Linked DNA regions of Oryctolagus cuniculus. The protein of the gene in region 1 binds, or shares a complex with, the protein of each later gene. Links are inferred from orthologs where the notes say so. Each region holds a gene or a part of one and is shown on either strand. Other genes may lie near its edges. The genes, in order: YWHAG, CAMKK2, CASP2, TLE6, HDAC4 and NEDD4L.

Region 1 (4,022 bases):
CCATTCAGGCAGGTATTGCCCCATTCCACGGATGGGGAAAGGAAGTCAGAGGGAAACCTACTTGCTAAGTCAACATAAATAGCTTTCAAAAAACATCCTTGTTGGGGCCAGCACTGTGGTGCACCGGGTGAAGCCTGCTGGCATCCCCCTGAGCACTGGTTCAAGTCCTGGCTGCTCCACTTCCGATCCAACTCCCTTGCTAATGGCCTGGGAAAGCACTGGGGGACGGCCCAAGTGCTTGGGCCCCTGCATTCTCATGGGAGACCAGGAAGAAGCTCCTGGCTCTGGCTGTTGCAGCCATTTGGGAGAGTGAACCAGTGACGGAAGACCTCTCTCTGCCTCTCAAATAAATAAATCTTAAAAGAAAAAAAAAAAAAAAAAAACCCTGATTGTACAATTGGTTCTCTCCTCCCTGCTCTGTCGAGGAGAGGAAGCACAGAGCAGCTTCCCAAATCCTGAAGTCAAATGTTTCCTGAAAGGTCTCCGTTCCCTACGGCTTCCTGAGAATAACCCAGTGGGAAGCCGCAGTTTCTTAGGGTTTTCATTAAAACCTGCCAATTATTTGCAATAAACCCGAGTACACATTCCACCCCTGCACTGTGATCCTGTATTATTTTAAAAATTCTTTCATTCCGCTGTTGTCCCAATTTTTAAAATGTGCGAGATCAATGCTTCAAAAAGACGAAAGTATCTCATGGATCCTGAGACCAACTGGAAACGGGAAGACGAGTGAGGCATATCCAGGGGTCGCGGGTTTGCATGTCTGAGGGAAAAGGAAATTCGTGTTTTCTGGACCCGTTCTTATCTGGGGGAGGATAAAGGGCTCAGCTCCACCTGGCTCCTCAGCCACCTTCTGCACTCCTTGGACAGACGCCAAGTGCACACTCCTCCCAGCTCCGAGGTGCACTGCAGCCTCTGTGTCATTGTGCGTGACATCACTGGGCTGCTATGGGTACAGGTGCGAGGTCACTCGCCTTCCTGTGAAACTCGGAACATGGCAGAATTAAAGCCTAAATAAAGGACACGAACCGGAGATATTCCCAATAGTGTTGAGCAGATATTAAAAGTGCGACTTGCATTATCAGAGCATTAAAACGTTAAGAACTACCAACTCTGTGGATGTATGAAAACAGCACCATCTCCAATTTCAGAACAATGACCTTCCTCAACAGGATAAAAAAATTTTTGTTAATATCTGTAGCTGGAGCAAGGATAACAGACCAGCCTTGTCACCTTGCTGCTCAAGAATGAACGTAACCCACACCGCTCTGAAGGTGCAGCCTTAAACCGCAGCCCGAGAGGCGTTCTAACCCTGTTACATAAGGCAGGAAGTGAAATACTAAGGCGGTGGGAGCCCTAAACCATCCGTTTTCCTGCGTCTCCTTCAGCAATAGCCCCCCTCCCCTGAATTCACACTGCGGGCCGGGGCGAGCTGGGGCTCCTGACAAAATGGTGCAGCCGGGGGCAGGGACCCGCATCCCGCACAGACCAGACCGCGGGGCTGAGCGGGGCTGCCTCTCCTCCAGGGCGAGGGGCAGGAAGCTCCGGCGGCTCCCAGAGCGAATTCCTGAGCAAGGGCTCGCTCCCCTGGCCGCGAAGTGCTCCCTGCCTCCACCCAGTCTAGGCTCTCTGCAATATGACAAATGCAGAACCTTCTGGAACGCCTGGATCCTGCCTCCCACCACCGCTTTGTTTGCAATATCAGATCAGACGGACTGTGTGCCTATATCTCTATATATTTTTTTTCAACTTGTAGGAATTTCAACAGACGCGTGCCTGTGTTCAAAGAAGAAACAGGGAGCTAAATTCTCAACGTTTATTTTCAGGGCGATACCTACCCTTTCCAATGCAAGAACACAAGGGGAAAAAAATGGAGATGACATATTGAGAACAATCAATGGAAACGCCAGCGAGACAAACGCCCCCCCCCCAAAAAAAAAGGGCAGGGGATGCGCTTTGGGCCATGGAGCTACAGCCTTTTGTTAAGAAAAACGTGAGCCAGGAGGTTTCGATTTTGCACCGCGGAGCCCAGGTTTTCCGGAGCACCTTCCCCCCCCCCCCAACCCCCACACCCCGGGGAGGGTCCAAGGGCTGGGGAGGGGGTGGCCACCCGGGAGACCCGCCGAGCGGACGGGAAAGGCGCCGCCCAGACACCAGGGAGAGAAAGAGGAACGGCGTCCATGCGGCCCCCCGCCCCCACGCCCGGCGGGGAGGAGGGGAAGTGGGGCACAAAGGATGCGCAGGGCCCCCCGCACACCCGGAGACCAGACCCGCAAGACCCCGCCCAGCGCCGCCGGGCCCCCCGGGCGAGGCCGCGTCCCCACCCGGGTCCCCGCCGCAGCCCCCGCGGGGACGCAGCCCCCGGGCTGCCGCCCCCTCCCCTGCCGTCGCGCCGGGCCTTGCCCGCCGCTGACCGCGTGCCCCCCTCCCGGAGGGACGGGGGAGCGTGGGGGAGGGGAGGAGACACTCACGTTCTTCATGGCCGCGGCCATGTCGTCGTAGCGCTCCGCCTGCTCGGCCAGTCGGGCTTTCTGCACCAGTTGCTCGCGGTCCACCATCTTCGCGGGCTGGGTCGGGCCGGAGGGGGACACCGGGGCGGCCTGAAGGGGCTCGGAGGGCGGCTGCGGCGCGGCTGGGGCCCGTGTGCCGGAAAGACCGACCCACGAGGCGAGAGGCTGAGGCGGCGGCGGCGGCAGCGGCTGAGGCGGCGGCGAGGAGGAGGCGGCACGAGCTGCGACCGCGGGACCGGGCGCGAGGCGGCTGCGGCTGCTGTGCGTGCCGCGGGCGGACAACCCCCTGCGGCCCCGCCCACGCCGCGTGACGCAAGCGGCCCCGCCCACTCACCCGCGCGCGCGCGCGCGCGCGCCCGCCCGCCCAGGCCCCGCCCGGGCATTCGCGCCGCTCGAGCTTCGGTCCCCCATCCCCCAGCTCGGCCCGCTGCGGTCTTGCGAGTGTCCTCTGCTTCCCCGCTGCCCCCCGCCACGCTCCCACCCACCCACCCCTTTTTTTTTTTTTTTTTACTGCACCCGGATTCCTTCGCCTAAGCCTCTCCAGACTCCCCTCCCCCCTTCAGGCCCCGGGCCGGCCGGGCCTAGGGCGCGCGTGGGCTCCTGGGAGTTGTAGTTCACAACGCCGTCCAACGGCGCATTGAGGAAACCGAAGACAAAAGGGCGGCCGAGACTACATCTCCCAGTGTGCATAGCGCGCAGGGGCGTGGGAGGATGGGGCTCCTAAACCGGCGGACACGGGAGACCTCTGGCGGGGACGAGGGCGGCAACGGTCGGAGCGAGTGCTGATTCACGGCCCCGCCCCATGTCCTCTGGGCAGTTACCCGGGGAGGGGCGGGGCCCCAGCCCAGACCCTGTTTTCCAGGCAGAATAGCCGGTCATGGCGGGGAGCAGGGCCCGGGAGAGGGAATGAGGGGGCGCGGACACGGTAGCTCCAGCCTGTCAGCATGGCGCTCCCCCGCGCGACGGCTGCCTGAAGCGGGGGACTCTCTGTCCCCAAGCGAGGCTCCAGGTCCGCAGTCCCCCTGGAGGCTGCTGGACCTGTCCGGGTGACACGTAGGAAGCGGAATAGCGGCTGGGCACCCTGGTTCACGTCCCCAGGGGACGCGTCGGAGCCCGTTCCTCCGCTCCGGGTGGAGCTGCAGAATTTTTTATCTCCATGACACTGCGGCTGGGGCGGGCCACCCCTCTGCCCCCACCCAGCACCTGCACCCTGACACAGGCTTATTCCTGGGTTCCACAGCGCGCACCCACCCTCGCCTGCCTGCTTTGCATCAGTCGTTCGACAGGTATTGAGCGCCTGCTATGCTCCCAGCAATGAACGAAGCAGCAAAAAAAAAAAATCCCTGCCCCACAAAACAAGCGAGATAAAAATCAATAATGTGGGTTAGAAAGCAAAAAAAGGGAGTCCAAGGAAGGGCTCTGAACCTCACATGAGTTTCTGTGAGGGGAATATTCTAGACTCTGCTAGATGTCGGAGGAACCTGTCCTGGCAGAATTTAGGAGGTAAGTGCT
Region 2 (4,041 bases), on another chromosome or scaffold:
GGCTGCTCCAGCTCTCTGCTAATGGCCTGGAAAAACAGCGGGGGTGGTCCAACTGCCTGGACCCCTGCACCCACGTGCGCGACCTGGATGAAGCTCCTGGCTCCATTGCAGCCACTTGGGGAGTGAACCGATGTGTGGAAGATTCTCTCGGGTGCGCATGTGTGTGCCTGCCTCTCTCTAACTCTGCTTTTCAAATAAATAAATAAATCAAAAAAAAAAAAAAAAAAAAAAAACTGCCCAGAGATTGCGCAGCGCCCTGTGCTCCGCACCTTGCTCTTCCCTCCACGCGGGGCTCTGCGAGTTCCTGGTGTTGGACAAACAACGGTAACGCACCCCCTTCCACGAGGTGGAGCAGACCACTGGAGGAGTGGAACAGGTTTTGTGTCTCCCTCTGCAGACGGCCATCGCAGAGGGCCTCCCAGACTCGGAAAGTGGGGGGGGGGGGCATCTCCCCGGAATCCACAGAAGCGGGCCGGGGATCCGCCCAGCGCGCGAGGAGCCTTCGAAGCTGGGGGCCCTGCGGCCTCCCCCAGCTCCCGAGTCCCGAGGGGCTGCACGGCAGGGCCGGGAAGAGCGGCCTGGGGTCGCTGTCCGCCCGGGACAGGTCTCCGGGCGCCCCCGGGGCCACGCGTCAGACAACTCGTGCGCTCTGGTCCGGCTCCCCGCCCCACCCCTCGCGGTACCGCTACCCAGCCTGTCCAAGCTTCTGGGCGGTCTCCTGCGAAAGTCAGAACTCGGGCGGCTTCCGGGCAGCCTGCCGCATCCAGGCGCGGTGGGGGTGGGAGGCGCACTCCTTCCGCAGCCTCCGGGGCCGGCCCTGCGCAGCGGGTCGGCCGCGAACGCGGGTGGGGGACCCGAAACCTGGGGCGGGACTTAGCCAGCCCAGCGAACTTTCTGAGACTCAGGCGCCGCCCTGCGTTTGGCTAAAACAAAGCGAGCGCCGCCCGCCCGCCCGCCCGCGGAGGAGCACCCGGCAGGTGCGCGCCGAGAGCCGCGGGACGGGCGGGTGCAAAGCGCAGCGCGGCCTCCGGCGCTCCGGCACCCGCCCCGGAGCCCGCGGCCGCGCCTCACTTCCCCTGCCCGCCCCTGCGCCTTGGCCGCGGCCCCGTCGCGCCGGCGCCCGCTTCCCCTCCCCGCCCCGGCGCGGGGCCGAGCCGGCGGGGGCGCGCAGGGAGCGGCGCGTGGCGGGCGCGGGCGGTGCCGCGCCCGGGCTCCCAGCGGCCGCGGCCAATCCCCGCGCAGCCCGAGGCGGCGCCGCGCCCGAGCCGGGCCCCGCGGCTCCGCCCGCCCCCGCCCGCACCGCGGAGAGCAGCGCGCGGCCGCCGAGCGAGCCCCGCCGAGCGGAGCCGGGGGCGCAACGCGCGGGAGGCGGCGGCGCGGAGCCCAGGTGAGCTGGCGGGAGCCGGGCGGGGGCCGGGGCCACCGCCGCAGCAGCAGCCCCCGGGCGCCGTCGCCGTTGCCCTCTCGAGGCGAGGGGGCCGCCGCCGGGGTTGCAGACAGAGCCCCGGGGGCCCCCTCCGCGGAGGGGACCCCACGTGCAGCACCCCACGCCCCGCCACGTGGAGGGATGCGGCCCCCCGCGCCCCTTCCCCGCGTCCGCCTCGGGGCCTCGGGGTGGCCTCGTCGGCTGGGCCGCTACCGGCCTGGGTGGCGGGGGGCGGGCGCAGAGTTTGGAACCGGTGTCGCGGGGCGGCCGGGGCTGTGGAGGGTCTCGGAGGCGGCGTAGGCCCAGCCCCCTCGCGGTTGTCAGGCGGGGGAACTTGGAGCGCGCGGGGGAGGTGGGGCCCGCGGACTTGGCGCGTCCCCTCGCGCGCTGGTCTGGGGCAAACCCAGGCCCCGGCCGCCTGGACACCGGGTGGCAGGACCGCAGAGCAGCGAGGGTGGGGACCTCGGCCGCTTCGCAGGGCACGGTCTGCCCCTGACCACCGCCGCCGCAGGTCCGAAGCCTTGGTCCTTTTGACCTAAATTTGCCTGGGCTGCAGCAGGCGGGGAATGCGGAGAGGAGCCTTACCCTGGCACCTTGCGCCTGACTCCGGGATGCTGGGCCCAGCCCCTCTCGGCGCGGGGTCCTGGGCCCCGGGGCGCCGCCCGGCTTGGGCAGCGGGGTGTTGCCCAGCGCCCAGCCTCTCCGCGGCGGAGGCCGAGGGATGGAGCTTGGGTGGGGACTTGTCAGTGCCAGCCGCGAGACGGGGGCGCCCCGGGCTCGGGTGGGACGCGCGGCGGCCGCCTCCCTGGAGGCAACTTTCGCCCTTCAGCTGAGACAGCCGCCCTGGCGATGGAAACTTGAGGTGCCTTGGAGCTGCGTGGTGTTTACCACTCCCCCGCCGCTGGCTCTGCCAGGGCGGCGCGCCCTGGGTCCCCCTGGCTCCTTTGTTCCTTGAAGAGGCGGGGGTCTGCTGCAGCCAGGCGGGGTGGGGGTGGGAGAGGGGAGGCCCTAGGGATGGGAGCTCCAACCGCCTCACCAAAAAACACACTTTGGGAGTAAACTGTGCCTGCTGGGCAGACGCAGCGTCAGATGGCTGCTCCAGCCCCTTCCTGTAGGAGTGCAGGCGTCGGTGATGAGGGTGCTCGGCGCATTTTTGTAATAAAGAATAATAGGCGTCATCGGGCGAGCTCCTAACTTGGGCAATAATAACGTTAATAACCGGCACTTATTCCTGCTCTGCCCCGAGGCTGTGCTGTGTGGTGCGCGCATCATCTCACACTTAACGCCTACCAGAATCCTGCGCAGATGGGGAGGAGATGGAGGATGGCACTCTTGGTGGCTAGGATTTAGTCCCGGTTTGGAGACGGGCTCAGAGAGGTTGAGTGACTTTCCCGGGGTCGCACAGCCGGGTGCGACTGGGTGTGTGGCGGGGCCGAGAGCCTTTTTGGCCTCACCGCTGGCAGCTTCTTGAGCCCGTGGTTGTCTCCCAGGGGCACAGAGCTCCGCGGGCCCTTTGCAGGTGTCAGGGGCCGATGTAGCCCCTACTACCTAGGCTGTTATTCTTGGCAGGGGGCTGTCTCCCACCCACCCAGGAGCATTTGGACAATGTGGGGGCAGCTTCTGGTGCCTGGGTGGTGCTGAGCACCCTGGCTTGTGGCCGTGCAGAGTTGCCGCATCCCACACGCCCTGTGGTGCCCCCACCGGGAAGCACCACCAGGGATAAAAGTTGTGGGAACGGAGGGGGCAGAGGACCTTGGAAGTTCTGGGGAAATCCCTTCCTTTGGGAGTAAATCCCGGATGCTTCCTGAGGGAGGTGTCGCTTGTGCTGGGCCTTGGGGGGAGGTTGGATGGGAGGGGGAGGGGGAGGGCATGGGGGGGGGGCTAAGCCTGGATGGGAGATGCCCCTGTGAGGGGTAGCGAGGAACGGTTGGGGCGGGGGCACGCCTGCTTCCAGGGCGTTTTAGATTTTAACCTGGACCAGAGCCGGCCTTCCCCTGCTGCGACCCCGTGTCACGGAAGGGCTTGGAGAGGCTGCCTCCCCTCCGAGCTGCTGCCCGAGGGAAGCGGGCAGACCACTGCCCACTTCCGCCGAGGCAGACCACTGCCCACTTCCGCCGAGGCACAGGGCCTGGTCCTGCTGTTTGTCTCTGAAGCTCCGTCTTCCCACCAGTGGCTCCCCTTCGGACGAGGCTGCGGGTTGGCTGTGCTGGCTCCGCCCTCCCGTCCATGGGTCGAGGAGGCTGCGTTGCTATGCTAGAATTGGCCTTTCTTCTTTCCATCTGTGCTCTTCGCTTACTCAGTTGTTAATGGACATTCACACGCGCTTATAAAATCCACGTAACACCAACCTAAACATCTAACACTTTATTTATTGACAGGGAGAGAGATCGAGCTTGCATCTACTGATTCACTCCCCAAACCCTGCAGAAACTGGGGCTGAGCCAGGCCAAAGCCAGGAGCCAGGAACTCCATCCAGGTCTCCCACATGGGTGGCAGGGGCCCAGGCACCAAAGCCATCGTGGCCGCCTCCCTGGTGTCCATCAGCGGACGGGGTGGAAGTGGAGCCAGGAGCTTGCTTAACTTTTTTTTTTTTTTTTTTTTTTTGACAGGCAGAG
Region 3 (4,158 bases), on another chromosome or scaffold:
AGACAGCTGGACACCACCCTAAAGGACTCTCCCACGACTGATCATCTCTCCACACCAGACCCACCTATTCATCCGATCAACATTTCCCTGTGTCTACTATGCGTGAGGAACTGTTTCTCCCGGACATCACAAACGGGGACTTGAACCCAGAGGGGAGGAGGCTACGGTAAGCCCTTTCCCAACTGGGATGAGGGTGGCGCCATGAGTCTCCTGGCACCGTCCGGTGACCTACCCTATGTTTAGTATTTCAGTAGATTGCCCAGAGAAACTGGAGGAGGAAGTGACATCTAAATGTCAAATGTGTCACAGGTTTCTACTGCAGGTGCTCTGCCTCCATTAGACCCCTTAGACTAACAGCCTCGTGAGGCATTGCCCTCATTGAAAAATGAGGATTCCAAAGGTCAGGGGAGTTCGACTATTTGCACAAGGGCGCACCGGCAGCAAATATAAAAAGCTTGAACTTCTAATTCTGAAGCCTATTGTGTTTTCAATACCAGATAACGGGAAGTCAGGCCACTCCTACATCTCGCAATCTCTGTCTTGGGAGAAAACAGAGGTAAAAGGCTTTATATCTAGATAGAAGGAGGAGGGGAGTTGTCTACAGACGGGGCGGGCCGAGCTTGGCTGGGAAGACTCCTTGCAAAACGAATCAAATAATCAACGTCGTGTGCACAGCGGCCCAGGCACCGCTCATCGGGTCCCCATCGCTCTTCAGGCCCCAACTGGGGACTTCCAGGTTTGACGATGCCGGATGTGAGTGGCAGAAAAGGATGAGCACATGGGAGCTCCTTGGAGAGCCACGAGGCACAGATTCTAAAGACTCCCCCTCTGGGGTCGTCTATGTAAAGCTCCCGGGTCACCTGCGAAGCGTCTCCAATCGCTCAGCCGCCTATCCCCGAGCGTTACCCAGGCCCCTGCCCTGCTTCCTCGGAGCCCACTAAGGACACGAGGCTTCCGGGGCTATGCTGTGGGTGCTGGCCCCGGGGGCGACGACATCATTGCTGACCCCGGCCTCCTCGCTGACCTTCACTGCGCAGGTATTTGTCTAAGGCCTTCTGGGCGTCTCGCCATCTTCTCCGCAATCTGGGCCTCAACATGTCAATAAAGTGAAATACACGACCGCCCTTACTCAGTGATGTTATTGCAATGGGGGGAGGGGGCGGAGAAGTGGGTGGCACCAGGGGGAGGGGGCCGTGATTTCCGCGGGAACCAGCAGCCAATCGGATTCCCAGGTCGGACGGCGCCTCGCTCTTTCCCCGCCCCTTCCCCTTCCGCCGAGCGCCTTCTCGCATCCCATTGGACGGCGCGGTCCCCGCGAGAGCTCCGGGGCCTGCGCTCGTACCAGGGACGGCGGGGGCGGAGCCGGCCTGGTGTCGGGGAGGATCAGGGCGTTTGTAGGGCGCAGGCGCGGGGTGCGCCTCCGGCCGGGGGAGGGATGCAGAGGAAGCGACGGCCGGGGGTTTGTTTGGGTTGTGGGCGGTACGTGCACAGCCCGGGAAAAGCGGGAAATGGCGGCGCCGAGCGCGGGGTCCCGGGCCAGCCTGCAGCAAAAGGGGCTGCTGGCCGCTGACAGGGGGCGCAGGTGAGTGGGCGAGGGTCTCAGGGGGGGTTGATGGGGAACAGGAGAGGAGAACGCGGGTCCCCTCGGGGCCTCTGCAGACAGCCGAGCCCACCCTGCTGGCCCAGCCGAGACCCCGTACGACCCGAGCCCCGGCACGTTCTCGCCCGGGCCTCTCGGCCTTGTCGACTCGCAGGCTTTGTCCAGCCCCGCGGGGCCCCGAGTGAGGGTCCCTCTCTCTGGTGCTGCTCTGGGCGCCGCATCCTCTCCCCCGGCTGCCTCGGAGGAGCACGTCCTCTGCCCCGAGGCGCTCGAGCTGTCCGGGCTGGATCGACTGTGTCCGAACCCGCTTGGCTTTGCGCATGATGACGGCCGCACAGGCTTTGGGGTGCAGTTTGCGCAGCACGAGGGGCTCCCGGGGCTCCCTGTAGGACTTGCGTGCCCACGTCTTTGTTCCGTGGCGGACGTCGCCCAGGAGGACGTGTCTTAGTGCTCTCTGGTCCAGACCCAGCAGAATAACGTGGGACGTCGGTACGGGAACCTTGAGGACATCAAGACTTTAGGATTCTTCTGCCCTTCGCGTTCTCTCCTCCCCCCTCCCCTGCGAAGTGTGTCCTTAAGTTTTGGATGATTGGCCACTGTGGGAGAGTTAAAATGTAAGGCTGTGCTCGAAGGAGCAAGTGTGCAGAGAGAAGACAGTCCTTCGGGTTCAAACTCAGGGTGTCGGGTGAAGATTCAGGGCTAGAACTTGAGGGTTAGTTGGGGAGTGAATTACTGAGTTCTGAGTGTGCATGCGATGGCCCAGGACTGGCTAGTGAGGGGAGTGCAGTCAGGGGAGGGAGGCCCGAGGTCCCCCCCCAGGACAGGCTGGTGAGGGGAGTGCAGTCAGGGGAGGGAGGCCCGAGGTCCCCCCCCCAGGACAGGCTAGTGAGGGGAGTGCAGTCAGGGGAGGGAGGCCCGAGGTCCCCCCAGAACAGGCTAGTGAGGGGAGTGCAGTGTCAGGGGAGGGAGGCCCGAGGTCCCCCCCAGGACAGGCTAGTGAGGGGAGTGCAGTCAGGGGAGGGAGGCCCGAGGTCCCCTCCAGGACAGGCTGGTGAGGGGAGTGCAGTCAGGGGAGGGAGGCCCGAGGTCCCCCCCAGGACAGGCTAGTGAGGGGAGTGCAGTCAGGGGAGGGAGGCCCGAGGTCCCCCCAGAACAGGCTGGTGAGGGGAGTGCAGTCAGGGGAGGGAGGCCCGAGGTCCCCCCCAGGACAGGCTGGTGAGGGGAGTGCAGTCAGGGGAGGGAGGCCCGAGGTCCCCCCAGAACAGGCTGGTGAGGGGAGTGCAGTCAGGGGAGGGAGGCCCGAGGTCCCCCCCAGGACAGGCTAGTGAGGGGAGTGCAGTGTCAGGGGAGGGAGGCCCGAGGTCCCCCCAGGAGAGGCTAGTGAGGGGAGTGCAGTCAGGGGAGGGAGGCCCGAGGTCCCCCCCAGGACAGGCTAGTGAGGGGAGTGCAGTCAGGGGAGGGAGGCCCGAGGTCCCCCCCAGGACAGGCTAGTGAGGGGAGTGCAGTCAGGGGAGGGAGGCCCGAGGTCCCCCCCAGGACAGGCTAGTGAGGGGAGTGCAGTGTCAGGGGAGGGCAGGCCCGAGTCCCCCCCCCCCAGGACAGGCTAGTGAGGGGAGTGCAGTGTCAGGGGAGGGAGGTCCGAGGTCCCCCCCAGGACAGGCTGGTGAGGGGAGTGCAGTCAGGGGAGGGAGGCCCGAGGTCCCCCCAGGAAGGCTAGTGAGGGGAGTGCAGTGTCAGGGGAGGGAGGCCCGAGGTCCCCCCCAGGACAGGCTAGTGAGGGGAGTGCAGTGTCAGGGGAGGGAGACCCGAGGTCCCCCCAGGACAGGCTAGTGAGGGGAGTGCAGTGTCAGGGGAGGGAGGCCCTAGGTTCTCCCCCCCAGGAGAGGCTAGTGAGGGGAGTGCAGTGTCAGGGGAGGGAGGCCCGAGGTCCCCCCAGGAGAGGCTAGTGAGGGGAGTGCAGTGTCAGGGGAGGGAGGCCCGAGGTCCCCCCAGGACAGGCTAATGAGGGGAGTGCAGTCAGGGGAGGGAGGCCCGAGGTCCCCCCCCCAGGACAGGCTAGTGAGGGGAGTGCAGTCAGGGGAGGGAGGCCCGAGGTCCCCCCCAGGACAGGCTAGTGAGGGGAGTGCAGTGTCAGGGGAGGGCAGGCCCGAGTCCCCCCCCCCCAGGACAGGCTAGTGAGGGGAGTGCAGTGTCAGGGGAGGGAGGTCCGAGGTCCCCCCCAGGACAGGCTGGTGAGGGGAGTGCAGTCAGGGGAGGGAGGCCCGAGGTCCCCCCAGGAAGGCTAGTGAGGGGAGTGCAGTGTCAGGGGAGGGAGGCCCGAGGTCCCCCCCAGGACAGGCTAGTGAGGGGAGTGCAGTGTCAGGGGAGGGAGACCCGAGGTCCCCCCAGGACAGGCTAGTGAGGGGAGTGCAGTTCTCCCCCCCAGGAGAGGCTAGTGAGGGGAGTGCAGTCAGGGGAGGGAGGCCCGAGGTCCCCCCAGGAGAGGCTAGTGAGGGGAGTGCAGTGTCAGGGGAGGGAGGCCCGAGGTCCCCCCAGGACAGGCTAATGAGGGGAGTGCA
Region 4 (3,998 bases), on another chromosome or scaffold:
ATGTAGGCGCCTTCTCTCTCCAACCTTCAGCCAGGTCCCTGGTTCTCACATCAACCGGAAGCAGCAGCCCCAACCCCGCCCACCACGAGGGGCGGCCGCCACCTCCAGGCCCCACCTACACCCCCGCCTCGCGCCGGCATCCGGGTACCCCGCGGAAGGTTCTAGATCCCCACAGACACAGGTGGCGGCTGCACATCGGGCACGCACTCGGTGCGCCTAAGGAACAGGACTTTAAATTTTATTTAATTTGAATTAATTTTAATTAAACAGCCACATGTGCGGGCGGGAGCCAACAAGGTCCAGATGAGCCGGCGAGAGAAGGGGCAGCCAGGCCCGCGAAGGACGCCAGCGGCCGCGGCCCACTGCGGAAAACCGCCCTCCGACCACCCGACCACCCGGCCACAACCCCGGGCTGTTAGAGCTCCTATCAGAACCTGGGGGCGGGGGGGGGGGGCGCTCCGAGGCCTGCACCGCGGCCCCCACACGCCACGCTCCCCAGGGACAAAGCAGAGGCGCCTGGGTCCCAGGGGCTGCGGGGTGCGGGCTGGTGTCCCAGGACGGGGGCGTCTCTGGGGGCGGGAGGGCTGGGGAGAGGCCTTGTGCCTGTGTCCCAGGCACAGGCCGCGGGAAGGGCGCCTCTGAGCGGGGCGCGGCCCACACGCGCATACAGGCGTCCCCTGTCCCAGGAACGACTCCCATCCCCACCCCAATCTCGGACGCGCCCCAGGCCCGGCTCTGCACCTGCAGGGCGCCCAGCTCGGGAGCCACCCGGCCTTTACTCTGCCCCTGCAGGGAGTGGGCAGCTAGGAAAGGGGGCGGGGCTGCTGGCCACCAGGCACTATATATAGCCCCTCTCTCAGGCCCCGCCCCGACCCCCGAGTCCCGCCCCAGCTCTCCGCTCTGCTAGTTGCTCTTCGCCGTCGCGGGCTTGCAACGGTTAAGCGCAGGCTCCGGGTACCTCTGAGTGACAGCCGGGCCGGAGGGCCGGGGAGAGACGGCCAATCAGCGGCGGCGGCCGTGGCGCACGTGGGCAGGCGGCCTCGCGATTGGTCCGCGCCGCTAGGCGGCCGCCCCGCAGAGCCCGAGCCCACGTGCGACGCTGGCTCTGGTCGGGAGCGGACTGGGGTCCGCGGCGGGGGCGGAGCCTGGGCGGGGGCGGGGCCCGACGGGTCAAAGGGGCCGGGGGCGGGGGGAGGCGCTCGCTGGGGGTCTGGACCCGGCTGACCCCTGGGCTTCTCGCTCTGCGGGAGGTACGTCGTCGGCTGCCCCGGTTCCCGGGAGGGGGAGTGGGCTGCAGCCGGGCTCCCGCGCCGGGGCGGGCGGCGGGAAAGGCGTCCGCGGTCGGGCCGGCTCCCGCACCCCCATCCGCACCCTGGGAACTCCTGCTCACTCTGCAAAACCCCCTTGGAATCACCCCCCGCTTCCAGTAACCGTCGCGAAGTGAGGCTCCGCGTTGACACCTGCTGTGGGCGCCATCCCCACTCCCACCTGGAGAGTGAGCCCCCACGGGTAGGGGGCTCCGGGCGGGGCGGGGGGCTGGGGCGGCGGTCCCTCTCCGAGCCTCAGCTCTCCGACCTAGGGTTCTGGAAGCTGCCGTCTCGAAATGACTTCCCCGGGCTCGCCCAGCCCCAGGCGCACCCCCTCGTCCCTGGAGCGCACCCCGGTAAGGAGGGCGCAGCGCGGCGGGGTGAGGGTCCAGGCTCCCACCCAGCGCTGCTGCCCGGCCCCCGTCTGGTCTTACGCCCACCTGTGCGGCGGCACGGCCAGCCCCTGCAGCTGCGGGCAATGAAGCGGGTGGCCGCCTCACCTGGAGACGGGGGCCCCGCAGCACCTGGTGGGTGGTTTGAAGGGAAAGCCCCCTCCCAGCTCCAGGACACGAAGGTTCCTCACCGTCAGGTGTCAAGAGGATCGGGTCTGAGACCCCCCACCCCACTGGGCACAGCAGGCGACCAATGCCCCCGCCCCAGGGAGAGCAAGACACCGAGCAGGGCTGTGGCTCTAGCTCTCGCCCCGCCCCAGCAGGCCTGGTCCGATCCCCGCGGCCTCCGTGGCGGAGGAGGGCCCGGTGGGCGGGGCCTGTGTGCGCACCTGTCCGTCTCTCTCCCTTGCCCCCCCCCCCCCCCCCGTGCAGCCTCCCCCTGGGACTTCTGCCTCCGAGGCGCTGCCGGTCCTGGACGGCCGCGTCACCCTGCAAGACCTCCGCGAGCGGGCCCCCAGGTGAGGGCAGCTGCGGGAGGGGCCCTCTGGGGGTGAGCGAGCTGGGGGCCCCTGCCCCGGGCGACTTTGCATTCGCGTCTCTGAAAATCCTGCCTTCAGATCTCAGCTTTGCATCACTTTAAAACATTTTTTTTTTTTATTTATTTTTTTTATTTATTTTTTTTTTTTTTGACAGGCAGAGTGGACAGTGAGAGAGAGAGACAGAGAGAAAGGTCTTCCTTTGCCGTTGGTTCACCCTCCAATGGCCGCCGCGGCCGGCGCGCTGCGGCCGGCGCACCGCGCTGATCCGATGGCAGGAGCCAGGAGCCAGGTGCTTTTCCTGGTCTCCCATGGGGTGCAGGGCCCAAGCACCTGGGCCATCCTCCACTGCACTCCCTGGCCACAGCAGAGGGCTGGCCTGGAAGAGGGGCAACCGGGACAGAATCCGGCGCCCCGACCGGGACTAGAACCCGGTGTGCCGGCGCCGCTAGGCGGAGGATTAGCCTAGTGAGCCGCGGCGCCGGCCACTTTAAAACATTTTTTGAAGATTTGTGTTTTTGAAGGGCAGAGAGAGGGCCTTCATCCGCTGGTTCACTCCCCAGATGGCCGCAACTGGCTGGGGCTGGGTCCACCCGGAGCCAGGAGCTCCGTCCCGGCCTCGCACGCAGCTGCCGGCGCCCAGCCCTCCGCGGCCTCCCCAGGCGCCCTAGCAGGGAGCTGGGTCAGAAGTGGAGCCGCCGGGACTCGAACCCGCGCCCACAGGGGGTGCGGGCTCTGCATCTCAGACACTGCAGCCTTGCTAAGTGTTTTGGGTTCTGAATTACTTGAAAGCCGTTCGCTGGTTCGCTCCCCAAGTGCCCGCAGCAGCGGGCTGGGGGCGGGGTCTGGGCCAGGCGGAAGCCAGGAGCTTCGTGGGGTCTCCCGTGTGGGCGCAGGGACCCATCACCGCTGGCAGCCGGGACTGGAACCCAGGCGCGGGTGTTGGCGTTCGGGGCTCCACCCCTCGGGGCGGGGTGGGGGAGGGCCGCCTCCCGCCTCACTGCCTGTGCCCCTCCCCTCCCGCAGGCTCCACCCCTCGGGGCGGGGGCCCCTCCCGCCTCACTGCCTGTGCCCCCTCCCACCTCACTGCCTTGCCCCTCCCCTCCCGCAGGCTCCACCCCTCGGGGCGGGGCCCCTCCCGCCTCACTGCCTTGCCCCTCCCCTCCCGCAGGCTCCACCCCTCGGGGCGGGGCGGGGCCCCTCCCGCCTCACTGCCTGTGCCCCTCCCACCTCACTGCCTTGCCCCTCCCCTCCCGCAGGCTCCCCTTGGAGGTGACCGCACAGCTGGAGAACGTCTCGTACTTGGTGAGCCCAGCACCTGGCCTGCCCCTGCCATGTGGGTGCTCTGCACGGGTCCGGGGGCGGCTGCGGAGCCCCCCACGCCCGGGGCGAGCGAGCGCGCGCTCCGTCAGGACGCAAGGAAACGCCGGCCGCAGGCGTGGCGGCCGCGTCCGGCTGTCTATCGTGGCCGTTCCTGTGGCACCCAGGCTGCGGGCGGATCTCGCCACGCGAGCTGGAACTGCGTGGTTACGGTCGGTTGGGTGATGAGGGACGCGGCAGATGACTGAACATGAGCGGGGCAGGCCCTGCCTTCTAGAACGTTCCAGAATGTTCTGTATTCCCAGTGTTCACCACTGACTGTCGAGTCTTTGAAAATGCACCTGACAGGACTAAAGGACAGAATGGGCTTTCCGTCGCGGATCTCCGTCACTCCCCAGAGGGCCGCACGGCCGGGGCTGGACCAAGCCGGAGCCAGGGGCCAG
Region 5 (3,948 bases), on another chromosome or scaffold:
CTGAGCCTGAACGTGAGCCTGGAGCCTGAACCTGAGCCTGAGCCTGAACGTGAGCCTGGAGCCTGAGCCTGGAGCCTGAGCCTGAGCCTGGAGCCTGAGCCTGGAGCCTGAGCCTGAGCCTGAACCTGGAGACTGAGCCTGAGCCTGGAGCCTGAGCCTGGAGCCTGAGCCTGAGCCTGAACCTGGAGACTGAGCCTGAGCCTGGAGCCTGAGCCTGAGCCTGGAGCCTGAGCCTGGAGCCTGAGCCTGAGCCTGAGCCTGGAGCCTGAGCCTGAGCCTGGAGCCTGAGCCTGGAGCCTGAGCCTGAGCCTGAACCTGGAGACTGAGCCTGAGCCTGGAGCCTGGAGCCTGAGCCTGGAGCCTGGAGCCCGCCCCCGGCCCCGGCAGTCAGGGACGCGGGGATGGCCCACAGCTGGCCGCTGGCACGCCGGGCCTTGCCCAGTCTGTAGTAATGAGAAGCGGCTTCGGCGCTCAGCTCTGTTTGCACAGTCCCCCCAGGGATGGCGGCCTGGATGGCCCGCTCACCGGTCAGACTTCCTGTGGTTCGGTGGTTTGCTTCTGAGTGCTAGCTGCTTCCGAAGCCCCTAAGTTGTTCGCCAACCACATGCTCTCCCCACTGTGGAGGGGACAAAGACAGAAATTTCCCAGATGTCTCCAAGTCAGGGCTGGGCCAGGCTGAAGCCAGCGGTCACTCAATCTGGGTCTCCCACGTGGGTATCGGGAACCCAGCCATCTGAGCCGTCTCCTGGTGCCTCCCGGGGTACCTGTTAGCAGGAAGCTGGGGTGCAGAGTGGAGCTGACTCAGCCAGTGCCCCCACGCGGGATGCGGTGTCCCAAGCCGTGGTTTAACTGCTGTGCCAAGCACCCAGCCCTGGAGGGGACATCTTGACCAGAGAGGCCAGGCGTGGGAGGGAGCCCCGGCCCTGCTGTCACAGCAGAGCCCGGGGTGGGGGGTGGGCATGTTTGGGGTGACCCCGTCTCCCTAGGCAAGCTCCGGAGGGGCAGGAGGGGTGGGGGTGGCCGCTTCCCCGGGGAGGCTCCCGATCGCCCCTCCTGTTGGCTGTGGGTCTCCCAGGCTCCCGCGACTCAGGCTGCTGTGGCCGCGTTGCTGCCTGTCTTCAAAGACGAACCTCCGTCAGGCCGCAGGCGAGCGCTTGCCTCAGCCGTGAGCGTGGGGTGTGAGGAGGGCAGGAGCAGGGCGCTTGCCCGGCGCGCGTTTGCTGCCAGTGCTGCGTGAGCCTGCCCTGGCGTGGCTGGGCCGGAACGTAAACAGTGTGCTGCGCAAGCCGCCAGCCGAGCCTCTCGTGGCGATCCCGTGTATCATCTGTCTGTTATGTAATGTGACAACATGGAGGTGAAATGGAAACCAGATGTCAGGGCGGGGCCGAGGGAGCCGTCCTCAGCCAGCGCCCGGGAGCAGGCAGGGCCTGGGCCGCCGCCCCGTGAAACCATCGAATGCCCTCGGAGGAGCGACTGCTGACGGGTCTCTGGGCACGAGCAGAAGTCCTGCCTGAAGGTAAAGTGCCGGTGGGCTAGGAGTGCCTCTGCGGGCAGACACGCGTCCCGGGGTTCCGGCGCGCTGCGGCCTGGTGACTTGTTAGCGGACCCGGGTTAGAATGCTGGGGCCGAGGGCTCTGGCCACCGCCCTTGGCCTGCGAGATGCCTCCAAAGGGCTCCGGATTAGGAGTGAAGGGGGGAGGTGTGGTTGGTCAGGGACTGGCTGTGTGGCCGGGGCCAGTGAGCGCTTACTGAGGGCTGGCTGCTCCACACTCGGGGCCCTAAAGAGGCAGCTCGCGGGCAGCAGAGGCCTCCGTGCTGTGCTGGGGGCCGAGCCCTGCCCCGCGCAGAGGTGGGCGCTGGGTGCCCTTGGGGAGTGAAAGGCACACCCCGTCCGTCAGAAGTGTGGTCTCCCTGGCTGGAAGCCGCCGTGGCCTCGGGTGAAGGCTGCGTGTTTCACTCGGACCAGAACCAGAGGCGTCTCCGCTGCTCTTTCCGTTCGGTCACGGATCTGCTGGGGAAAGCTGCGGCTTCCTCGCTGTGCTAAGGAGACGCTGGAGCGGAGCTCGGGGTGTGGCCGGGCCCCTCACCCTGGTTGGTTAAAGCTATGGAAGTGTTGCTTTCTCACTAGGAAGGGCTGTGGCCGGAAGCCACACAGGCGATCCCGCGTCCCGGGTCACCAGAGCCTGTGTCGGAGGTAGAAGGGGATCCCGGCTCCTTCCCGTCCCAAGGGCGGGGCTCTGTGCCGGGCTCTCCCGCTCACCGTGTCTGTGGGCCGTGGCTCCTGTGCAGGGGAGCGTTTCCTGGGTGCTGGGCCTGGCGAGATGTGTTCACGCAGCTTCGTCGTTTTAAAACACACCTGAGGGAGCAGAGAGGCTGGGGGGCCACGCCATGCTGTGCGGGAGGGGGCTGCAGCTGGGTCCTGGCTGTGCAGATGTCAGGAATCCCAGTGCTGTAGGGACAGGCGTGCGTGACGGTTCTGGGCGCTTCGGGCCGCAGCGTCTGGAAAGAAGTGGAGAACGCTCACCGGCCTCGCTCCGCTTCACCCGTTCTAAGAGGAAGCTGAGGAGGGGCCGTCGCGGCCGTGCTCGCCTAGAACCGGTGTGGCCGTCAGACAGTTACGCGAGCGAGTGCCCCGTCCGTGTTGGGAAGTGGACTTGGGGTGCTCAGTGAGCTGCCGGGGCGGGCCGCAGCAGTGCCCGTGTTTCCTGCGCAAGGACGGGGTGGGGGGGACATGCCTTTCTGCTCGCGGAGCACCCCTGCCCTGCGGGCTCCTGGCCAGCAGTGGGGACCTGGTTGTGACCACCTGGCCCCCGAGGTCTTGGGGCTCCCACCCTTGGAGGCTCCTCTCCCGCCTCCCTGCTTGGGCTGTAGGGCCTCACCAGGAGGCAGGCTCTTCAGTGTTTCATTTCTAAATATAGCCCCTGCTTCTGTTTTTAAAAATAGTTCATGCTTCCCGGAGGATCCTGGACACAGTTCCCATCCATCCCAGGGTGGCTGTTGGAACGTGGAGCCCACCCTGGGGCTCGGGGCGTTGTGCCCAAGCTCTCCTCCTGTCTTTCCAGACAAGGTGCAGGCCCAGTTGAGCATGGACGTCCTGAGGGCTCTACCCCCGGGGGTCGATGGAGTGTCTGAGGCCCAGGAGATGCTGGGATGGCACAGCCCAACCTGGCCAGCCCCTGGGGCCCCCACTCCTCCCTGACTCTCCAGACCCGGGGCATGGAGCTTCCCCAGGGAGGTGGACACAGGTGCAGCCCCCCCGCCCCCGCATCCCCATATACCCTGGACATCCCTACGGGTTCCTGTGGTCTCTTTGGAAAGTTTTCTCCACCAGTGGTGTCCTGGCCTAGGGGTAAGTGGGAAGTGGGGCTGTGGCTGCCTGGTGATTTGCTGGGGACATTGGGGAAGGGTCTTGCCTTGGCTATTTATTTATTTATTTATTTGAAAGGCAGAGTTACAGAGAGGGAGAGATGGAAGACAGAGAGAGAGAGAGAAAGAGAAAGAGAGAGCTTCCATCTGCTGGTTCACTCCCCAAATGCTGCAACAGCCAGGGCAGGGCAGGCTGAAGGCAGGAGCCAGGAGCTTCCTCCAGGTCTCCCACATGAGTGCAGGGGCCCAGGACTATCTTCTGCAGCTTTCTCAGGCTCATAGCAAGAAGCTGGATCAGAAGTGGAACAGCCAGGATTGGAACCAGCACCCACGTGGGATGCTGGCACAGCAGGGAGCAACTTTACCCACTACACCACAGCACCGGCCCCGTCAGTTGGCTCTTACACCACCACTCCTGTGTTACCAGGGCCTGGAGCCTGGGGGCTGTGGTTGAGCAGGTGTCCTGTGGTTTAAGTAAGGAGCCTTTTCCACTTTCGGTTCACATCATGAACATAAGGGGGTTAGGGTGGCTTGGCCCCTGGGGCAGGTGAGAGAGAGCAGCCCCGCCCCCTGGGGCAGGTG
Region 6 (3,500 bases), on another chromosome or scaffold:
AACAGACAGTCCCTAAACCTTCCAAGTCGCCGGGGTGGTGCTATCGACACAGATCTGAAACGGCCCACGACACGGATGGGATGGGCAAGCCGGCTCTTCGGCTTGTGCCAGGTGCACTTCAGCAGTCATCACGCACAAGGTGGCATTCACGGGGCCCACGAAGCTGGGCAATGCTGACCCAATTTTCTCCAAGCCCAGAGTAGTCAAGGGGCTCACAACGAAACCAAACCGAACCAAATCAACCAAAAACTAACCGAATCAAACAATTCAGGCAGTCACTAAATGACTGCTAAATCAGACCACAGACTGAACTGGTAAGACCTAAGACCCCTGAAGCATTTAAACTGATGATAACTCGAAGAGTATAAGAACCGACTTTATTAACTAATGGTGACAGGATGAAAAGAATCTATCATCATCAGGAGTTCCCTGCTGTATTTTTTCCTACGAATCAGGCTGGCTAACATTTTTGGAGTCATGGTGCATTTCAGATTCAGCCACTGCGGCCTGTTTGTGAGCCTGACCTCGCGGGAAGGGCTGAGGCCCGCTTAGAAACGGGAACCCTGCCTCGGATTCTCCAGTTGAGAAGGATCTTCCCCACGATCCCAAAACCAGGCTGTAATCGACTTCAGTTCATTTCTCATGTAAACCTCATCACGCAACGCCCTCCTGACTGAAGCGGCAGATATCTGAAACGCCAAAGCGCCCCGGTGGCAGCCAGACTGTAGACGCCCAAGCGAATGTTTGCCTTCAAGATAAATGCGGCCGGCCGCGGCAGCTGCTGCCTGCGCTCAGCTCCCCGTCCACAGGAAACGCTCGCAGTGCTGCTGAATGGAGCGCGCGGGTCTGCGGGGCCACGGGCTCTGTTTTTGTTTTTTAAAGGAAAACGCATTTGCTCAAAAGCAAACCAACGTCCCGACCGTGAAACGATTTATGTAAGTGTAAACATGAGAACAACCATTTACTAGGAAAGCTCTGTAGTCCAGAATTTACGTCTCCTAATTGCCGGACTCTGTGTTCCACCACGGGGACTGCAAACTGGCACCGGCCTTATAACAGACACACGATTTTCAGCTTCTTCTATTTTCCAGTGGTATTAGAAATTTCGAGCCAAATGAGACTTGGATTGCGAACAATCCCTGCACCTGACGAGCGAGGTGCAACGTGGTCTATGCTTCTGTAACACAACTGAACCCTTGGGGAACCCTCAGGAGTGGCTTCTGACCATCTTCAAGGGTCGGTGGTCAAGTTCAGCATGGAAGGACCTGTGCTGCCAAATAACAGCTTCCAACTGTCCCGACGGTCACCCCCCGGGTGGGGGTGGGGGGTCTGAAAGCCACTCTTATACCTAATCGCCACAGAAATCTGTACCACTGTGTAAAAACCGGCATGGATCTGGACCAAGACAAAGGATGAAGCTATTTCCGAATAAGTAAGCTTAAGATTATAAAATCCTAATGGAAGAGGGAAGAAAAAAAAAAAAAAAAGAGAAATACATTTGTACCTAGCTTTGGACGGCACCTTCCAAACAGTGAGAACCAGTGATAGAACAGGGATAAAGCTCACTTGAATGACAGAAATATTTCCGAACAAAAGGCAACACAATTCTAGTTAATACTCAACCACTCACTCTGAAGATAACTCGCAAGTGAAACCCAAACCAAAAAATCCCCCAGGCATTTCATAATCACATCCTCAAACTCGCAATCACATGAAATTCGGTGGTGGTGGGGAGGGAGGAATCCAATTTGAAACGCAGGGAGCTGGTTCTTCCGGGCAGCGCCTGCGAGCCAGCAGCCACTAGCCGAGGACTGCGCCCGCATCCCGCTCCCAGCAGGAAAAGCCGCAGCGTCACCCTCGCCAGCAGGCCGGCAACTCTCTCTCTGCTCCATGTCACCCACAGGCCACAGCCGCTCCAGGGTGGACATGGCCACAGCCGGAGCAGGGGCCCTCCCAGCTTGGAAGGCGGCGAGGTCCCCCTAGGGACCCCCAGCCTCGGCCCAGGAGCCTGTCTGCTTCAACAACGCCATCTCCTCCTGGCCCACCCTGCTCCTGCTCAGTGCTCACAGGACAAAACCCAAGGCGATGAAGGACCCCAGGGCCGCCCCCTTCCCACCAGGCGCTGCAAGGGAGACCCGCCTTCCGCCTCGAGCCCTCTGCGGCGCCGCCTGCTCCTTACCCCAGAGGGCTGTGCCAGGCCGCACCGAGACATGCCGGGCCACCGACCTGTTTTTTTGGCAGATTAATTTCAAGTAATAAATTTTCAAAATTATTCTATACAGAAGCGAGAGGGAAGAAAAAAAAATAGTATGCTTTGCTTGAATTTCCAAAACAGGTTTCTCCAACTCTGAGGGCCTAGAGACAGGCCACTTTCTGGACCGCTCACTAGCCTTGCGGGCCTCTCCCGCACACTGGGCCGAATGTCATGGTCCCGGCCTGCCAGAACTCGAGCCCTGGCCGCGCACTTACCACGGCCCCGGCGGGACCAGGGCTTTCAGCGGGGTCCTCCGTGGCAGTGGCCGGCGCCTCCTCGGGCTCCCGGGTGACCAGAATCCGGAAATGCTGCTGCCCAACGTTTGGCTCCTGCCTGATCTTAAACATGCAACCCTGGCCCTGTGCAGCCCTCTCGGCCGAGTTCGTCCTGCGGATCTCCGGGGCCATCCTGCCGGCCCGCGGCGGTGCCTCCGGTGCGGCCCGGTCTTCCGTGGGGCTCCCTCGCCCGGCCCGCGGCTGCGTAGGGTACGAGGTGCTCCTCTCCAGCCGGATGCGGGGATAGCGCACCAGCCTGTCGCCCTTCGTGCCCGTGAAGCCGAAGTTGAAGTCGCCGCCCAGCCCCGGGCTGCCCACTGGGGGCTGCTGCAGCTGGAACACGAAGCAGCGCTTCCCGGAGCTCCCAGCAGCATCCGGGACGTGCTGCAAGGACCAGCGCCTGGGCTCGGCGGCGCCATCGGGGCCCAGGGGCAGCAGCCGCACCTGGCGCACGTCCGCGCTGGATGCGCGGTGCTGGATGCGCAGGCCGGGCACGGATTCCTCCGAGCCCTCGCCGCGGCCGGGGCCCCGCACTAGGCGGCCGCAAGTGCCGTTGACCAGCGGGCCTGGGTCCCGGGCGGCTCCCGGTGGGGAGCCCCCAGACACGTCCCTCTGGGCGGGCTCCGGGGCTCCACTCGGGGCCAGGGCCCTGGCGGCCGCGGCCTGGTCCCCGTCCTCGCTGTGGCCTTCGGGGCCCTCGGGCGGCCCGCACCCGTCGGTGGCCCCATCGGCGGCCTTGCGCTGCAGGGAGATCTGCACGGACGAGCTGCGCGTGGGCCGGGCGTCGAGGCCGGTGAGCAGCTGAGGGATGAACATGGACGAGCTGCGCTTGAGAGCGCCCACGCTGTCCTGCAGGCCGCCGCCACCGGGCGCGGTGCCGTGCGGGGCGCAGGGGTGCGGGCTGCTCCTCCGCGGCAGCGTGTGGAATGCCATGAAAAAGTCCTCTTCTCTCTCCTGGTCTAGGATCTCGG

The links.
Region 2: the proteins of YWHAG (region 1) and CAMKK2 are in contact, whole or in part, in a crystal structure (PDB 6Y6B), measured with the Homo sapiens proteins. The link is inferred for Oryctolagus cuniculus from reciprocal best matches to the Homo sapiens genes YWHAG and CAMKK2. Residues at the interface, in NP_036611.2 of Homo sapiens: Ser46, Val47, Lys50, Asn51, Arg57, Arg132, Tyr133, Gly174, Leu177, Asn178, Val181, Glu185, Ile222, Leu225, Asn229, Trp233; in NP_001257414.1 of Homo sapiens: Leu99, Ser100, Leu101, Gln102, Glu103, Arg104.
Region 3: the proteins of YWHAG (region 1) and CASP2 are in contact, whole or in part, in a crystal structure (PDB 6S9K), measured with the Homo sapiens proteins. The link is inferred for Oryctolagus cuniculus from reciprocal best matches to the Homo sapiens genes YWHAG and CASP2. Residues at the interface, in NP_036611.2 of Homo sapiens: Glu15, Asn43, Val47, Arg57, Arg61, Lys125, Arg132, Tyr133, Pro170, Gly174, Leu177, Asn178, Val181, Glu185, Glu213, Asp214, Lys217, Asp218, Leu221, Ile222, Leu225, Asn229, Leu232, Trp233; in NP_116764.2 of Homo sapiens: Asp137, Leu138, Ser139, Leu140, Pro141, Phe142, Pro143, Val144, Cys145, Glu146, Leu150, Lys152, Lys153, Leu154, Ser157.
Region 4: the proteins of YWHAG (region 1) and TLE6 are in contact, whole or in part, in a cryo-EM structure (PDB 8XI3), measured with the Mus musculus proteins. The link is inferred for Oryctolagus cuniculus from reciprocal best matches to the Homo sapiens genes YWHAG and TLE6. Residues at the interface, in NP_061359.2 of Mus musculus: Lys50, Arg57, Arg61, Lys125, Asp129, Arg132, Tyr133, Gly174, Leu177, Asn178, Val181, Glu185, Phe201, Asp202, Ile205, Ala206, Leu208, Asp209, Glu213, Tyr216, Lys217, Thr220, Leu221, Ile222, Met223, Gln224, Leu225, Arg227, Asp228, Asn229; in NP_444484.1 of Mus musculus: Phe137, Leu138, Ser139, Glu140, Ser141, Asp142, Leu144, Gln145, Leu295, Arg347, Asn430, Leu447, Gln470, Met472, Asn489, Asp510, Asn511, Thr512, Met530, Pro553, Arg555.
Region 5: the proteins of YWHAG (region 1) and HDAC4 are in contact, whole or in part, in a crystal structure (PDB 3UZD), measured with the Homo sapiens proteins. The link is inferred for Oryctolagus cuniculus from reciprocal best matches to the Homo sapiens genes YWHAG and HDAC4. Residues at the interface, in NP_036611.2 of Homo sapiens: Asn43, Leu44, Ser46, Val47, Lys50, Asn51, Arg57, Phe122, Lys125, Arg132, Tyr133, Gly174, Leu177, Asn178, Val181, Glu185, Leu221, Ile222, Leu225, Asn229, Trp233; in NP_001365345.1 of Homo sapiens: Ser348, Pro349, Ser350, Leu351, Pro352, Asn353, Ile354, Leu356.
Region 6: the proteins of YWHAG (region 1) and NEDD4L are in contact, whole or in part, in a crystal structure (PDB 6ZC9), measured with the Homo sapiens proteins. The link is inferred for Oryctolagus cuniculus from reciprocal best matches to the Homo sapiens genes YWHAG and NEDD4L. Residues at the interface, in NP_036611.2 of Homo sapiens: Lys50, Arg57, Arg61, Lys125, Arg132, Tyr133, Gly174, Leu177, Asn178, Val181, Tyr184, Glu185, Leu225, Asn229, Leu232, Trp233; in NP_001138439.1 of Homo sapiens: Pro444, Arg445, Ser446, Leu447, Ser448, Ser449, Pro450.

Annotation. Positions count from the first base shown.
Region 1 is NC_091450.1:44,225,998-44,230,019, reverse strand, and holds the start of YWHAG (14-3-3 protein gamma), read right to left. Parts: upstream 2,801-4,022; 5' UTR 2,559-2,800; coding exon 2,472-2,558; intron 1-2,471. UniProt on the Homo sapiens protein: Adapter protein implicated in the regulation of a large spectrum of both general and specialized signaling pathways. Binds to a large number of partners, usually by recognition of a phosphoserine or phosphothreonine motif.
Region 2 is NC_091452.1:7,645,278-7,649,318, forward strand, and holds the start of CAMKK2 (calcium/calmodulin-dependent protein kinase kinase 2), read left to right. Parts: upstream 1-1,241; 5' UTR 1,242-1,387; intron 1,388-1,800; exon of another isoform or gene 1,801-1,937; intron 1,938-4,041. UniProt on the Homo sapiens protein: Calcium/calmodulin-dependent protein kinase belonging to a proposed calcium-triggered signaling cascade involved in a number of cellular processes. Isoform 1, isoform 2 and isoform 3 phosphorylate CAMK1 and CAMK4. Isoform 3 phosphorylates CAMK1D.
Region 3 is NC_091434.1:180,474,528-180,478,685, reverse strand, and holds the start of CASP2 (caspase-2), read left to right. Parts: upstream 1-1,358; 5' UTR 1,359-1,508; coding exon 1,509-1,582; intron 1,583-4,158. Other genes in the region: TMEM139 (transmembrane protein 139), read left to right, coding at 1-22. UniProt on the Homo sapiens protein: Is a regulator of the cascade of caspases responsible for apoptosis execution. Might function by either activating some proteins required for cell death or inactivating proteins necessary for cell survival.
Region 4 is NC_091447.1:59,670,061-59,674,058, reverse strand, and holds the start of TLE6 (transducin-like enhancer protein 6), read left to right. Parts: upstream 1-1,198; 5' UTR 1,199-1,495; intron 1,496-1,579; 5' UTR 1,580-1,603; coding exon 1,604-1,663; intron 1,664-2,131; coding exon 2,132-2,217; intron 2,218-3,494; coding exon 3,495-3,540; intron 3,541-3,998. UniProt on the Homo sapiens protein: Component of the subcortical maternal complex (SCMC), a multiprotein complex that plays a key role in early embryonic development.
Region 5 is NC_091434.1:1,481,343-1,485,290, forward strand, and holds the start of HDAC4 (histone deacetylase 4), read left to right. Parts: upstream 1-1,148; 5' UTR 1,149-1,455; coding exon 1,456-1,516; intron 1,517-3,948. UniProt on the Homo sapiens protein: Responsible for the deacetylation of lysine residues on the N-terminal part of the core histones (H2A, H2B, H3 and H4).
Region 6 is NC_091441.1:20,107,563-20,111,062, forward strand, and holds part of NEDD4L (E3 ubiquitin-protein ligase NEDD4-like), read right to left. Parts: coding exon 2,470-3,500; intron 1-2,469. UniProt on the Homo sapiens protein: E3 ubiquitin-protein ligase that mediates the polyubiquitination of lysine and cysteine residues on target proteins and is thereby implicated in the regulation of various signaling pathways including autophagy, innate immunity or DNA repair.